Linked DNA regions of Oreochromis niloticus. The protein of the gene in region 2 purifies or fractionates together with the protein of the main gene of each other region. This does not show direct contact. Links are inferred from orthologs where the notes say so. Each region holds a gene or a part of one and is shown on either strand. Other genes may lie near its edges.

What was found. Proteins that work in one complex are often made in the same cells at the same time.
Region 1: the proteins of fkbp5 (region 2) and nudcd3 purify together in Homo sapiens (affinity purification with mass spectrometry; 3 studies listed by BioGRID and IntAct, with this or other methods). This does not show direct contact. The link is inferred for Oreochromis niloticus from reciprocal best matches to the Homo sapiens genes FKBP5 and NUDCD3.

Annotation. Positions count from the first base shown.
Region 1 is NC_031972.2:9,661,719-9,669,637, reverse strand, and holds the start of nudcd3 (nudC domain-containing protein 3), read right to left. Parts: upstream 3,018-7,919; 5' UTR 2,831-3,017; coding exon 2,633-2,830; intron 2,270-2,632; coding exon 1,962-2,269; intron 1-1,961. Other genes in the region: mrps24 (small ribosomal subunit protein uS3m), read left to right, coding at 4,043-4,084, 5,437-5,514, 6,137-6,248, 7,657-7,919.
Region 2 is NC_031970.2:16,196,373-16,203,587, reverse strand, and holds the start of fkbp5 (peptidyl-prolyl cis-trans isomerase FKBP5), read right to left. Parts: upstream 3,011-7,215; 5' UTR 2,723-3,010; intron 1-2,722. UniProt on the Homo sapiens protein: Immunophilin protein with PPIase and co-chaperone activities. Component of unligated steroid receptors heterocomplexes through interaction with heat-shock protein 90 (HSP90).

The DNA of each region.
Region 1 (7,919 bases), on a different chromosome or scaffold from region 2:
TGCACCTCCAGCCATCTTGCATCTTTTAGTTTTCCATTATGGAGGAGATTACTATACTTAAGTCTGATTGCAATTATCAGACATCATTATTATAATTAGTACACAAATTACAGCCTCTATTGCAATCATTCAACTTCTGTTAATTATCACAGAGTTTTCATATTGTTACGAGAGCCTCAATAACCTGGAGACGATTTGTAATTCAATGATTTGATTCATTTAATACGAGTCTAACAAACCAAAGTAGTAAATTTAGTTTTGTTGTCTCCCCGAAAACAAAACAAAACAAACAAAAAATAAACACCTTCAAACTATAATTTCACAGGAAGGTTCCACCTAAGAGTGAAGCAGAGGCTGAGATCCAGTGTCACTTGTTGATGGGATATGTGCTTACTGATTACAAGACTTGACATTACACTGTTATTGTGAGAACTCAACAATACTGCAGCAGAGCCAGGTGTCTGGATTATGCTTCTACTTCTTTTGAAAGCCGTCTTTCTGTTGGTTTCATCAAGATGACCTTAAGGTCGCAATGGACCAGCTTCCAGTCCAAGTATGAAGTGGATGGGATGAAATTTAGCAACTTGAAGTCCAAGGCCACAGCTCTTGACTAGAAAAGGGTAGAGTAGCCCCTGCAGGTTGTGTACAAGTTGCTGCCACAAATGGAGGAGTTCAAATATTTTGGAGTCTCGTGGCTATACAGGAAGCTGCGGCAAATGGCTTTCTGCTAGGCCTCAAGTCCAGTACATGTAGTCACTAAACTCTCCAAATACAGTGGAGAGTTCACACATATTTTTTCTGTTTTCCCATCTCACTGTTTTCATATAATACATCACACATAATCGTCCATTCCATATCCTATACACATCACTTCATCCAATATCGAGGCACTTATTCCTTCTCCTCTGTCTTTTTCAACATTGCTGAAATTTGAGGCACTTTAGTCTGCACATAGCATTGCTCACACACAGTGCAGAGTGGTTATACATTATATTGCCAGAAGTATTCACTTATCACCCTTCATATGTATAAGTGCTTTAGTGATGTCCCATTCTTAATCCACAGGTATAATATGATATTGGTCCACCCTTTGCAGCTATAACACAAGATTTAGGAGTGTGTTCATGCATTGTTCTTGAGCTAAACTGAAGGTCACATAAAGTTTGGAGTTCTGCAGCGACTGACTCCACCTCAGCACACTATGCACCTCAGCATCTGCTAATCCCTGTTCCTGTGATTTTACATGGCCTACCACTTTGTGGCTGAGTTACTGACATTCCCAATTGCTTCTACTTTGTTATAATATCACTAACAGTTGACTGTGGAATATTTAGTAGCAATGAAAATTCACAACCTGACTTGTTGAACATGAGACATCCTATCATGGTACCATGCTGGAATTCATTGAGCTTCTAAATGTTTGTAGGAGCTGTCTGCATGCATGGGTGCTTGACTTTATACACCTGTGGCCATGGAAATGATTGGAGTACCTGAATTCAATGATTTAGATGGGTGAGTGAATACTTTTGGCAATATAGGGTATGTCAAAGTACAGCAGAACTAAGTCGGTTAGCAGTGAACATTTTCTGTCTTAGTTTATAAATATAAATATTTTCCATGTTCTCCCTGTGTCTACCTGGGTTCTCTCCGGGTACTCTGGCTTCCTCCCACAGCCCAGAGACATACAGTTAGCAGGGTTAGGTTAACTAGTGATTCTAAATTGCCTTTAGGTGTGAATGTTAGTGGAATGGTTGTCTGTCTCTCTGCGTTAGCCCTGCAACAGAACCTGCAACTAACCTTCACCGAAGTCTGCGTCCCGTCACAAAGTCATTTTAAGGCCTAAAATTGACCTTGACAAGTGCATTTACTGAGACACTGTAGTGTGCAGAGTGATGTTTATGTTGGACCATATTTAAAACAACAGATGCTTCAAAGGTTAAAAAACGCTAGTAGCTACTCACTCTGCTTTGGATTTCGAGCTGGCTGCAGCTGCCTGATCTCCACAAATTGCTGGAGTGCTGCTGCTATCCTGCTGAGAGCAGACGGATGTGCCTGAGGCTACTGGAGCTGAAACATCCCCAGAACTGGAGGGAGAGTTCTCCATCTGCGCCGCCTCTGTGCTCTGCTGCTTGGTTTCCTCACAAGGCTCAGAGGCAACCTCCAGCTCCTGAACTGTAGGAGGAACATACCTAGTCTCCTCTCTCTTCTTCAGCTCGCTCACTGCTCTCTCTCTGTCGTGCTCCGCCAACTTCTCGAATAACTTAAATGTCTGAGGAAAGATTTAAAGGTTATCGCTTATCATCATTTGAGAGGCAGACAACTCTAGCATAGGATCTAACCTTCACCGAAGTCTTAGGGCAATAACAAATGCATTGCTATAGGTCTGTGGCTCATATAGACTGCAAGGCTATCACCAAGCACAGGAGTTATTTTGTATTATGTAGGTGTTAATTCATCGACGAATCACTGCAGTCTAAGAAACTCGAGGACCACAGAAGTGTACGTAACATTATAACAGCTTCATTTTTAACCTGTGATTGGAAATAATATGCATGTGCACAAACTGTACCCTTAGTCATGTTTGTTGCCAAGGTATTTACATTTAACAGGTTAAAATGTTGAGAAATTTCACCTTAAGCACCATCTTCTCTGCCACACCTGGAGGGAAACCCATTTTATCATTGGGACTTGACAGCAGGCGATAAAAGTCCGTCTTGCGGTACAAGAACCCAAAATAGACCTGCAGAAAGTCCTGAATGTTCCCAACGTGCTGCAGGATCCCCAGAAGAGCATTATCGTACATCTCTGTCATCTCCAGCGGCGACGCCATCGCAGCTTTCAATCTTTATTCCTCTCAACAAGTCTTCAAATTATTCCAGCCAATACTTATCCCACCAAAATAATGACAGTTTGCCAAGAAACACAAGTATAGAAATAAGTGGGACGAGTAGGATAACGCTTCTTAGCAACTACTTTCCTCTTTCCAGAACAATACAAATACTTCCGGTGCAACGTTTTCAAAATAAGTGTGCAGTCTTTGACAAATATCGGGTACCGGGTATCAAAACAAAACAAAACAAAACAAACAAAAAACCCCACAAGCTATGGCTATTTGTAGTGTCTTTGTGTATTTATTTATTTTTTAATACATACAAAATCGAAACAATCACGCATTTAGGATGTCCCTTTTCAGTTCTTGACTCATATTTATGTATTTATTTTTTAATAGCACAGATAGGCTAAGCTACTTTAGGCTGACCTTCACTTGTTAGGCGAACCACTGCAGTGTGGACCCACTATAAATAAAGCAAAAGTATAAACGAACACAAATAATCGCAAGAAAAGTGACATATGTTTTCAAATATGGTATATGGTTTCAAAGAATCTCTTTTTAAATAAAGCACACTTAATACATAACAGAAACATAATAATAACTATAAAATTACTCAAGTATGCAAAACTAATTTTTGTACTAATGTATATTATACACAATAATAATATTAATCTTTAAAGCAAATTAATCATTAATAATTACAAGAACGACTATTGTTAAATTAGAAGGAAAAACTAAAGAGTACATTTTAGGTAACAAAAATGTATATTTTAAAATGCATCTGTTAAAAACAGGAATTTTAACTTGCTTTAAATAACAACTCGTAAGAGAAAATGTTGTGAGGAAAAATTTAGCAATTAAACTGTACATTAAACTGTGTGTTTGCATCCAATTTTCCTTGTTCTTAAAGCACAATGTCAATAATAATGAGTCTAAAATATCGCTCGTTTAACTACCTTAAAACTTTTATTTTCCCTCTTTCCGGTTGGTTCAGGTTAATAGTTGTCCGGTGGAAACTTGTGGAAACTGCCTGTGGAACAAACAGTTCCAGTATACAGCTCAAGTTCAGTATAGAAACGTTAATTTTGTTATTTTTACGTGTTATGATTATTCCTGAGCTTTCGAAAAGCTTCGGCTATTTATACAGTAATAAACAGAGTGCCTGCTGTGTTGTAGTTTAGTACCACAAGTTAATCGTTTGAAGAAAACATGGCGGCGTCCTTGAGCAGCATAGGGAGCGTGAGGGTGCTGGTAAGAAAGTCATTTTAAACCGTAACATTTAATTAATTTCCATTAAGTCTTGTTGACCGTGTAGCTATCGGCGTGCACCCATTAATTTAGCGCTACGTTTTGGTTAGGCTTTATATAACAATTTTAAGCTAGGGGTTAGCTAACTTGCTCTTGGCTGCCTAAGTGATAAACAGCAAAAATGTCAGACGTAGCAAAAGTTTGTGTCAGTTTGTTACTACTGCGTTGTATGACCACAGAAGCCAAGCGTGTTTGTTTGTGGCACTACGAACCTGAATTATCAAACATGGAAACATCTATAACAGCCTTTTGCCTTATCAAAATATCTGAAACTGCATTCTGAACACTAAGAACGGCAACTAAGATGTCGACAAATACCTTTTAACAATTCGTTATTAAACAGCTTTAAAACAATTTGCAATAGGAATAATTCACAATACAGCCCACTAGTTTGGACTGGCTATGATTTGATGATACAACATCTCTGACACAATGTCCAAGACATCTGTGCATTGTGTTGCAGAGATGCATTATATGGATAAAAGTGTTGTGCCACCTGCACATTACACCCACAGGAGCGTCTATGACATCACACGCTAAATCCATAAGCATTAGTGGAGAGTTGCTCCACCTTTGCAGCAAAATCAGCTTCCTACAAGACTTGGGAGGCTGTCTGTGGAAATAATTGCCCATTCATCAAGAAGAGCATTAATGAGATCAGAGACTGGTGTTAGACAAGAGGGCCTGAGTCAGAATCTCAATTCCTTGTATTTACCTTCATAACTTGGTTTGAAATATTTTGCGCTACATTATTAAGCAACTGAAACAGCCTCTGCATGTTAACACAGGAAGAAAATAAAATTCGCTAAAGCACACTGTTCACTACAGTCACAGCTTGCTGTCATGATCCAAATATTTATGTTTGTACGGATGTTTCAGCAAAACATGTCTCGATTATAATTATTTGCAGTAATAAGTTATTAGTTTTAGTAAGTATTCTTGTTTGTCCAATGCTAGCATACATCACTGTTTCACAGACTAGCATTAGCAGATGTAATGAAAGCCAGAGTGGTCAGTAGGTATTACAATTCAAGCACAATTGCTTCAGACATTTCAGTGTTTTACAAAGCCTCGACTTGCCCAACACCTCTTCCTGCTAAGTGGGAGTGTTGCATCAGCAAGGACTTCCAGCTTATCTTTGCTAAGTCAAACATGCTGAGCCACGTGCTTTGACATCCCCTTTGGGAAATAAGGGAGAAGCCAGATGTACCTTTTTTGATTTTGAAATTATTTCTGAAAATCAATTCAATACTTACTCACTGGTTTTCACTCTCACTACCTTACCTGTTTCGCAGAGCACCTTAGCTTGGTCCAGATCATTGTGCAGCCTCTCTGGAAGCAGGGGCCTCCATGTTACTGCGTCGTGCTGCAAGGTAAGCGGCCTTGGCCGTCTCAGGGCTGTTGTATCAGCAACACTAACTGTTTAACATTGTGTTTATCTTTTTAACTTTCACACTCTATATTGTTACATCAGTGCTCATTTTGTTTTAAACACAGGGATGATAAAATAAAATAAAATCTAAGTAAGTATTGTTGCAGATGTAGAATATAATGATAAAGCATTTGGAGAGCACATATCTCTCCTGAGGCAGCTCCCTCTCTGGTCTCTGGGCAGTATTTACTTTTATGGGAATAGTATTGTATTTTGTATATATTAATTTTGTTTTCATTGTAAACATACTTTAACAAATTTGTTTACATCCCCATATAATCATTTAGAGTGATAGATACAAACTATCCAAATGCCTATTTCCTATTTGACTTTTTATAAACCTGCTGCTCTATCACCTGAAGTATTCTGATACTTTACCAGAGCCACAGTCAGAGTGGTTTAGAGGTCACAACCATTTTAAAAAAAATAGTAGTAATTTGAGTTTTTTTTGTTGCTTTTTACAAAGGCAATTAGGTTGTCATAGATTATTAACTGTCAATGTGTCTGATAGTGTTTGCTCCAAATAAACCAAAGAGGTGCTCTTTTGTCTTTCTCTTATACAGAATCGAGCCGCTCGTATCCGAGTGGGGAAAGGAGACAAACCTGTGACCTATGAGCAAGCGCATCATCCTCACCACATTGGCCACCGCAAAGGATGGCTGTCACAGCACACCAGTGAGCATGACTGAGATTGAGAATATGCTCTCGCTACGCACATTTGATTTTATGCACACTGTCCTCTTACGTATTTGGTCATGAATTAGTTACCTCAGTGATTTTTATGGAAGCAGTCATTGAGGAAGCATTAGCATTCTGTGCTTCCCTGGTGTGGATAGCTCTCAGACTACATACCAATCATCACTGAGTCCAACCAAACTATGCACTTTAGCTTGAATGCTCCTGTGTCACAGACTTAAAGTGTTGTGCACAGGCCATCCACACACTGATACTGGGAAACATTTCCATGTTTTCAAAGTGTGTCCAACACATTTTCCAAGTCAAAACTCATTTTAGCATTTGATTAAATATTTTCATCTGTTCAAGAGAACCACAGCAATCAAGCACCTTCAAAGAGAAAAGCTGGCAAGACCCAGCGCTTCACGTATCATGTTTACCTTCCAGCTTGCTGACTAGTCACTGCTGAGCCTCTCCAGTTAGTGTCTAGAATTTGCAGCAAGTGGAGAACTGAGTAGGCTGCATAGAAGAACGAGAACCACCATCTATCTCTAACTGTTCTCAAACCATGAGGTTTGGCCCTGTCTGACCATGAGATGAGAGACTCGCTGGAGAGACAGCTGATTTTTGACTTATCATTGCATTCCTTTTATATGGAATGCAATGATAGTCTGTAAAGAAAACCAATGGATGTAGCCACTGTGACATCACCTGTTGGTTTTAGACTCTGCATTTTGAAGCCTCCATGTTAGTATTTTACTTGCAACCCTGTTGGCTTTTTGGAACCAGAATTTATCACATTAGTCATTAGTTAATTACCATACACATACTAAACAACAGAGCAATAAAATAATAGAATTTCACTCATCAAAACTGCAGCACGAACGGGACAGGTCCAGTTCAGTGTCTCAGATTATTGAAGTGAGGCCGAGCACACAGCTTTTCCCTGCTGCACTTGGCTGCTGTTCATTTCATTCTGTGGGAAACAATTTATGGAGTCATGATGTTTGTGCTCTCCACAGCCAGACAGCAGCAACTAGTGTTTTCATTTTATAATCTTTTTAGACTTCATCAAACTCTTCTCTGTCTTTTGATACTTTTCAGTGTCTGCATATGGTGTTTGCAGTTTATTACAGAAAGTGCATAATTTAAGCAAAATTAAGGCCTAAAATTAAATATATTTTCAAATATATCTCTAAACATAATATTAAACATGGTAAAGAAACTTAAAATAATATTTATGTTGTCTGATGTGACTGTGAGCCTTATTAATAAATATTTTGCTGAAGAGGCAGTGTTCTTTTCGTTTGCACATTTTTGTCAATCAGCGGCAGCTAATGTGTAATTCAGTCCAAATTCCTCTTGATCTTTCATGACAGCTCCAGTTTTTTTTCTCTCTTGCTGATAGGTAACCTCAAAGGAGAGGACGGGGCAGCTGAACGCACTGTAGAAGACGTCTTCATTCGGAGGTTCATGTTTGGGACGTTCCACGGGTGCCTGGCCAATGAGATTGTCATCAAAAGGCGTGGCAATTTACTGAATGTGTGCGCAGTGATGCTACAGAAGTTACCACCACAGAAGTTTTACTTCCTGATTGGCTATACAGAGTCACTGCTGTCACACTTCTACAAATGCCCTGTCAAGTTAGAGATTCAGACCCTGCAGGATAAG
Region 2 (7,215 bases):
ATGGGTGATCAAGTAAACCAATTAATGCAGTGGCAAACTGATTTTTATGAGGGTATGTGGGGGGAGAAAGTTTGTTACGGTGGTCTTCTTTGCCCAGGCTGCACCACAGTGCTGGATCTCCTTTGTAAAAGGCTTCCTTTAAAATGTTTTTACCGTATATGTAGAAGTATACCATTTTGAGCTAAAATGGCCTCTTGGTATCAAGCCAGTTTGGACTCTTAGAGTTATACTTCATCTGAACATAATTAAGGTCTTTCCTTTATTTATTTATTTTCAAATAAGCCTTCTACAGAGCAGCGAATCTTTGAGCAGCACAATAACGTATTGCGCAATATATTTGAAATTTATATTTTTCCCACTGACAAGCAAATGTAAACACATTCATTTTAGAATGAGCAAATAAAGAAAATCTTTGACTTCAACTGCTTTGGTGTTTGATGATTAAATTGCTGACTGTATGCTGGGAAGCCGTGAGAAAGGGGATTTTATATAAAGGCAATCTTTGTATCGTCTGTGTTTTTTAAGCAGAGATGTTAAAGATACGAGATTATCTCAGTGATGTCACAAGCAGAAATCTTCTCACATTGCACCACGTTTCTAGCTCAAGTTTAGGTAGGGCTCTCAGGACAGACTGTTTCAAATAGTCAAAATAAAAAGTGTTAGTGTCCATTCAGAGTAACGTGACAAGGACACAGCTGCTGATCAGACAACAGTTCTAAAATTTCCACAGACTTCATTTGAGGCAATAACCATTCTTCGGGCGGCATGTTGTTTTACTGGAGAGGAGCAGCAGCTCGCCTACCCTGCATCAGTTTTCTGGATTTTTCCATCAGTCGCCCTGTCTTACGTTATGTTCTGCTGTGGCGACAAAGAGCCTGCAAAGACTAACATTAAGCAACAGCACTTGGTCTGAGTCTCATCAATAAGCAACATGTCCAGTGTACTGAATGCCGATAAAGAAATTGACCTCATACTAAATGAGATCTTAGGAAACGTAAACTATGGCGCAACCCGGGCGCCTCAAACCACAGGGTGAAACCATAAAGATCTGTATTACTGACATTTGCACTGTTTGTTCTGGTTCTTCAGCCTTGTGTCTCCCCTCAAAGTGTTTGTGCACTGAGCACAAAGTGTCCATCCCTCATTAGCAGCATCTTGTCTTGTGTCTTTGATATCTGATGGATTTGGTTTTAGATGTAACTCGTGCATGTGTGTGTGCATTTGTGTGTCTGTACACAATGTTCCTTCTATTCACAGTTCCCCCGCTGGCAAAGCCTGACGGTGTTCACCAATCTGAGACCCCTTCACGTACAGCCCAGTTTCAATTTTTAAACCAAAACAAGGTGATTTAAACTAGTCAAACAGAACCTATATTTACAATTAGATTAACATATGATTTAAACAGGGTAAAACAAGTAGGTGAATGCAGACATACATTAGCATCATTTCAAGTAAATGTTGTGTGTTCTATCAATTTGACCCTTTTAGCTTTTGCTTTTTCTTTATGATAAATATCCAACTATTAAACAATGTAAAGAGGAACAGTGTGCAAAGAGTGACAGCACAGAGATGATGGCATGTAGACTAAATGTACAGCTACTTTGCAGAGGAATGCAGGAACAGAGCATATTAAGACAAAGACACACACACACTTCAGCCTATCTGTACGTTCTGCCTCATATCCGTAGTCTGCTGATTAATATGTGAACGTGTGAGTACACAATGTGCATGGCAAACAGACATCCTGAACCAAAGCACTGTTTGACATACGGGATTTTTTTTCCCCTTTCACCCAACAACCCTTTGCAGAGTTTAAAAAGCGACAGGAGTTGACTTTTTGAAAAAGTCAAAAATTAGGTTTGACGTGAAATTTGACACTGCGAATCTTAAAAATAGATTGTTTTTGTTAAAAGGTAACAGAGAACCCCCCTCCCCCCGTTTTCTTTAAATAACATATCATATCCTTCAGTGCTTTTAAAAACAACAACCAGTTTATCTATATTCCGTATCTACCTTGAGGCAGTTTGATTCATCTCTGGGATGTCGCCTCAGCCTCTGTTTTACAGGGCGACTTGCTTGTGCTGCTTGTGCTTCAAATCTAACTACCCATGCAGGGACGCCCGTGTATTTGAAGTTATTCAAGGGGCCACCATCATATCCTGTAATGTTCAAGTGCTCCAGAATAAATGCTCGAGCGCCAGAGTTGCTGGTGTAATTCTCAGAAACAGTTACACAACCTGTAATTTATGTAGGTACACCTAGGCTTACACGTAGTCTAGATATAAACTGTTGTCCTCATCCTTCCTTTCCACAGGGACCCGCAGCTAAGTGCCACATTTACACACACACACATACACACACACATACTTTCACCTATTAACCCCCACCACCCACCACAAACACACGCGCGCGCGCGCGCAGTGCCTTATCAGCCTTTATTTTCCAGCGCACAGTGGGATATAGCTGTAACCTCATGCGTGTGAAAAATTCGGCATCAATTCTGAGATACGTTTTGATTTTTCTCTCTTTTTGTATATGTGTGTGCGTGTGTGTGTGTGTGTGCGTGTGCTTCTAAAAAGCAGTCTTTAAATACAATGAAGCTAAATCTTCACGATGTATCACAAGTGTCAGTTTAACTCAGCCAGGCATGAATATGCCTTAATTAGCTCCTTAATTAAGTCTGTCAGCAGCAGAATAAAGAGGAGTAAATTAAATCACTTACATGTTCTTGTGATCCGATAATAACAATTTCTTCAGCGAGTCGGTCGGTAAATTGGAAAAGCGCGTCTCTTTCACCTAATTCAAGCCCGCCCTTCTCATCTCATATCCATGGTACTAAATGTTCTGCCCATGTGGTTATTAAGCAGCGCTCTTTCAGTCTAGTTATCCCTCCTTCCCTCCCTCTTTACTTTAATCTCCGTCCTCGCCGGTGACGATAAACCTGCCGGTGTAGTAGTAGCCACATGGAGCTCAGACTTCAAAATGACACCGGGGAGGTAGTGAGGCAGAGAAGCACACAGAGAAAGAAAAGAGAGAGAGAGGGGGGGGGGGGGTAGAGTTGTGGGAGGACGTTTAGAGTAAAATTAAGGGCAGGTCTTGGAAAGCAGCCACAAAGTAACACAATGTTCCGGCTGTACTGTAGCTGTACCGCTGCCGCTGCTGATGAGAACACTGTGTTCCAATAGACACCCTGACCTGTAACCCGTTCCGTGCCGAGACAGCCAGGCCGGGAACAGCCTGTACCGCAGCAGGCTGTCCTCCCCGCTCAGCTGACAACACGTATCATCAACAGTACTGTGTAACAGCCCGCCTGCAGACACAGATGAGGATGTGTAATCACCGAAGTAAAAGCACACCTCACTGCCCGATAAGACGCGCGGTGATACGGATTAGCGCACTGTTTCTGTAGACTTACAAAGAAAAGGGGGGGGAAGTAGCGTCTTTGCTTATCGGAGACTTTTATGGCTTAAAGGACAGTTTTCTGTAACTTATTTCAGGGTAAGGACTTCAACAAAAGCGCATGCATGTTATTTTTTACTACTGTTTCTTTTATTAATTCCTGGTGGTATTTTTCCATTTTGGCATTTTTACTGGGCGGAGATCATTTGTCATCTTTTCCCAAACAGTCTGTGTTTACATTATTGTGGTGTTTACGGCTTTGCAGCAAAGTATGAAGATCTTTTACTAGTTGGAAAAAATACCACTCAACCAAGTTAGATATAAAAATAAAGTCAAATATAAAAGATGATTTTCTGTGTATGCTCCTCATGTTACATACTAATTCTCTATTCTCACTGCAAGGTGTTAGCTTTTGTTTTACTAACTTTGCAAGTAAAATCTTGGCGACAGCTGTTTTGCTGTCAAACCAGTAACTTAAGACATTTTCTTTATTTAAATCTTATTAAAGTACAAACACATATTGATGTACTTAGAGTGAAAAGTCCTGTGTTAGGCGTCCATTTAAATGTATAAACACGGTTCAGATGGTGCTGTGTGTGATTCTAGTATTATGGTATTCTAGTAATGTGCATCATATTCTATTAACTCTTGTTTTGCAAGTCAAATTTTGGGAACTATAAGTTCCTATAAATATAGGCTATATGCACTGTGATAAAAAAAATACAAGTCATTATTAAAAGTAGAAGTACTCATTGTGAGGGAACATAAGGGCAGTCCCTGACAAAGTGCTGAATGATAAGTCAATGTAATAAACCAAGAACAGATGGTGAATATGCCTAATCCTGTCTCATCCTATAAATCATTATTAATCATCAATTAATCATTAACCTCCCGATACAATAGTTTTCATATTTTGTCAGTATTTTACTCTGATGTGGATGCTCACTGGAGCACCTGTATGTTAAACCTGTCTAACCCATTACTGTAGTCCAATAATTGCTACTGTATCTGAGTAAATTACAAAATGAAAATTACTTACTGTGAAGTACAGTTCTTCTTAAAGTCTTCAAAGTTTAATTAAAGTAAAAACCTAAAAAAAAATACCCTTGTCTAAGTGTTACTATATGTAATGGGGCACTATAAACACATTATAATTTGGGAGGTGCTTTTTAACCTGGAAATCCACATGAAGAATAAAATAATAAATATTCAAAATTGTAAATGTCTTTTAGTTACTGAAGTCATTTTGATTCATTATGTATTCCATATTAACAGGATTAGAAAAAAGTGTCACATCTAACACACACCTAAAGTGCTCACTGTGAAGCAATATGTTACATAACAAGTTAAAGTAGCCAACCTGCTTCAGGTGAGCATGAAATGCATTGCATTTTATGAAGGATGCTTTGCAAGTCAAATTTTGTTCTGGTCAACAAAGACCGCAGTTATCAGGAAGAGACAGTTTTCACCTGAAATATACAAGAAGTCAAAATAGTAGTGAAGTACTAAACACACACCAAAAGAGATGAACATGAGAGACACAACACCAAGTATTTTAATATAATATTTCAAAATATTATCAGGATGATATATATATATATAAAAACCCAGCAGGAGTTGATTTATGTTGCAATCAAACTTTTCACAGTGGTCATGTTCTTCTCCAAAGGGCATGTGTTTGAGTATATTTTGACCACGACTCCTAAACAGCCTGTAAGGAGGCAGAAAACTCTCATCATGTGGAAACCCCAGACTCACACTCTGCATGCTGACGAAATCTTGTGTTCAAACAGCCCTGCCTTTATCTCCTTTCTAGGCTTTTTATATTCCCTGATTTGATTAAAGCAAGTGTTTGCTTATTATCACATTCATAGTTAATATGTTTTCTCTTTCACATCCCTAAGATGAACCTTTTTTTTTTTACTGACACATTTACTTTGGAGATAAGAGAAGCTAAAATCCATAGCAATAAAATATTTTTATGGCCTTGCTTTTGTGCTTTTGCAGTTGAGGATGTTGGCATTAATATGTCAATAAACAGTGCTGAAAATATGACACGCTTTATGGCTGCTTCTTGTGTCTATGTTTATCACATTTATTGCATTAAAAACTATAAAATATGCCTCGAATTAATGTCATGACTGAATCATTAACGAGAAGTTAACCAAACTTTGTTCATGTCAGACAGCGAGAGGAAAACTTTTCTTTATAGAACCGAGATGCTCAAAGAGCCTCGTCTCTCTAGATGATGAATCCCACCATTATAGGTGGTAAGGATACTGTCTGACCACACTGCTGGCAGACAACAAGCTGCTATTGAGAGGGAACATGATGATCCTGTTAATTATATAGGTGACATAACACAAGTGAACCTGACTCTGCAAACGCAACAGGGATATTGTCAGCTGGGGTGAGTAATCTTCTGAGCATCTGGTTATCGGAAGAAAGTAGCTTTCACACACATGTGTTTTAGAACATGTTATTCACATTTAAAGGAGGAAAAAAACAGCACAGAAACAGAAAGATGTGGTCGTGTGATGTAAAAACACAACCTCACTATGTCTCAGTGCCCGCATGAAACCTTTAAAATAAAAGTACTGATTATTTAAGATAAAACACCATGTCAGGACGGTTAACTCCTGCACAGGCAAAGGTTGGTTTGTTTGTTTTACCAAAATTCGTGAACTGTGGTGTCCTGGTTGCTTTGTCTCTCTTCTTTTTCCCTACACTGTAATGCTTAACTGGAGGTCAAAATGACCTAAACAGGCTTGGGCTGAACTGAGATGCATGAATAGATATGTATAGTGACACATGGCTTGAGATGTTGTTTTCCTTCCTGAAACATCAAGAACATCTTGTTTCTGTTCTGGTGAAAGCACCCAGGCAGGCGAGAGACAAAAAAAGAAGAAGAAGAAAATGAAAATTAGATGGTCAAAGGTTACATCAATGGTCTGTGGCTGTTTTATATAAATATAATGGGGACATAGATGCAGCTGTAACTTATTTTTAGAACTTAGTGGCCTTCTTACTGCTACTTACCTATCACTTTGCATCAGAAAGTCATTTAATCTTTGCTAAAACAAAACAGTAAACAGCAAAGCTGATAGGTGCTTAACAGATTTTGCTAAATACTGTGTAAAGTACAAAAATCTGACAGGCAGTTGCAAGAATCCGTCTGTCTGAATGAGTATCTTGGTGTAACCAGAAGCACGCGGGTGAGTTCATTCAGGGATACGGGCTGCACAGTCATCAGGAAGTGAAACAGAACAGAATGTGCTGTACTAATCTGATTGAAAAACACTGTGCTGAGTGGATGCTTGAAAAAAGAGATGATTCATTTAAATAGCTACAAGGAGAACCCTATGGCAGCGGGGGAATATATGCACGGAAAAACAAAGGCAGCTTAATGCTTCATTTGGTGAAGCAAAAGGCAAATGTGAGGGCGAGGTTAAAGAAGCACTTGCTGTCACACAAACATGCGCTCTGCAGCTACAGGCTGAGCAACATAATGCTCTTTGTTTGTGTTCTAGGCATCCGTGTTATGTACAGGGGAGTAATCTCCCGAGTGATCCCTTTTATCCCTGAACTTTTGCCCCCCCCTCGAAGCAGGAGTTCTTTACTGTTGTGTCTGCCAAGGGCCCCAAATAAATGAATAACAGCAGTACTATTTTCATCATGTCAACACAAACCTTAAAAGGTTGTGTTTTATTGTCAGCATAGTTCAGTTTTGGTGTGTTTTATGTTATGTTTGACATTTATCACTTTGTATAACTGTCCTGAAAGATATTAACTTCTTTTTGTTTTTGAGTTAAAAGA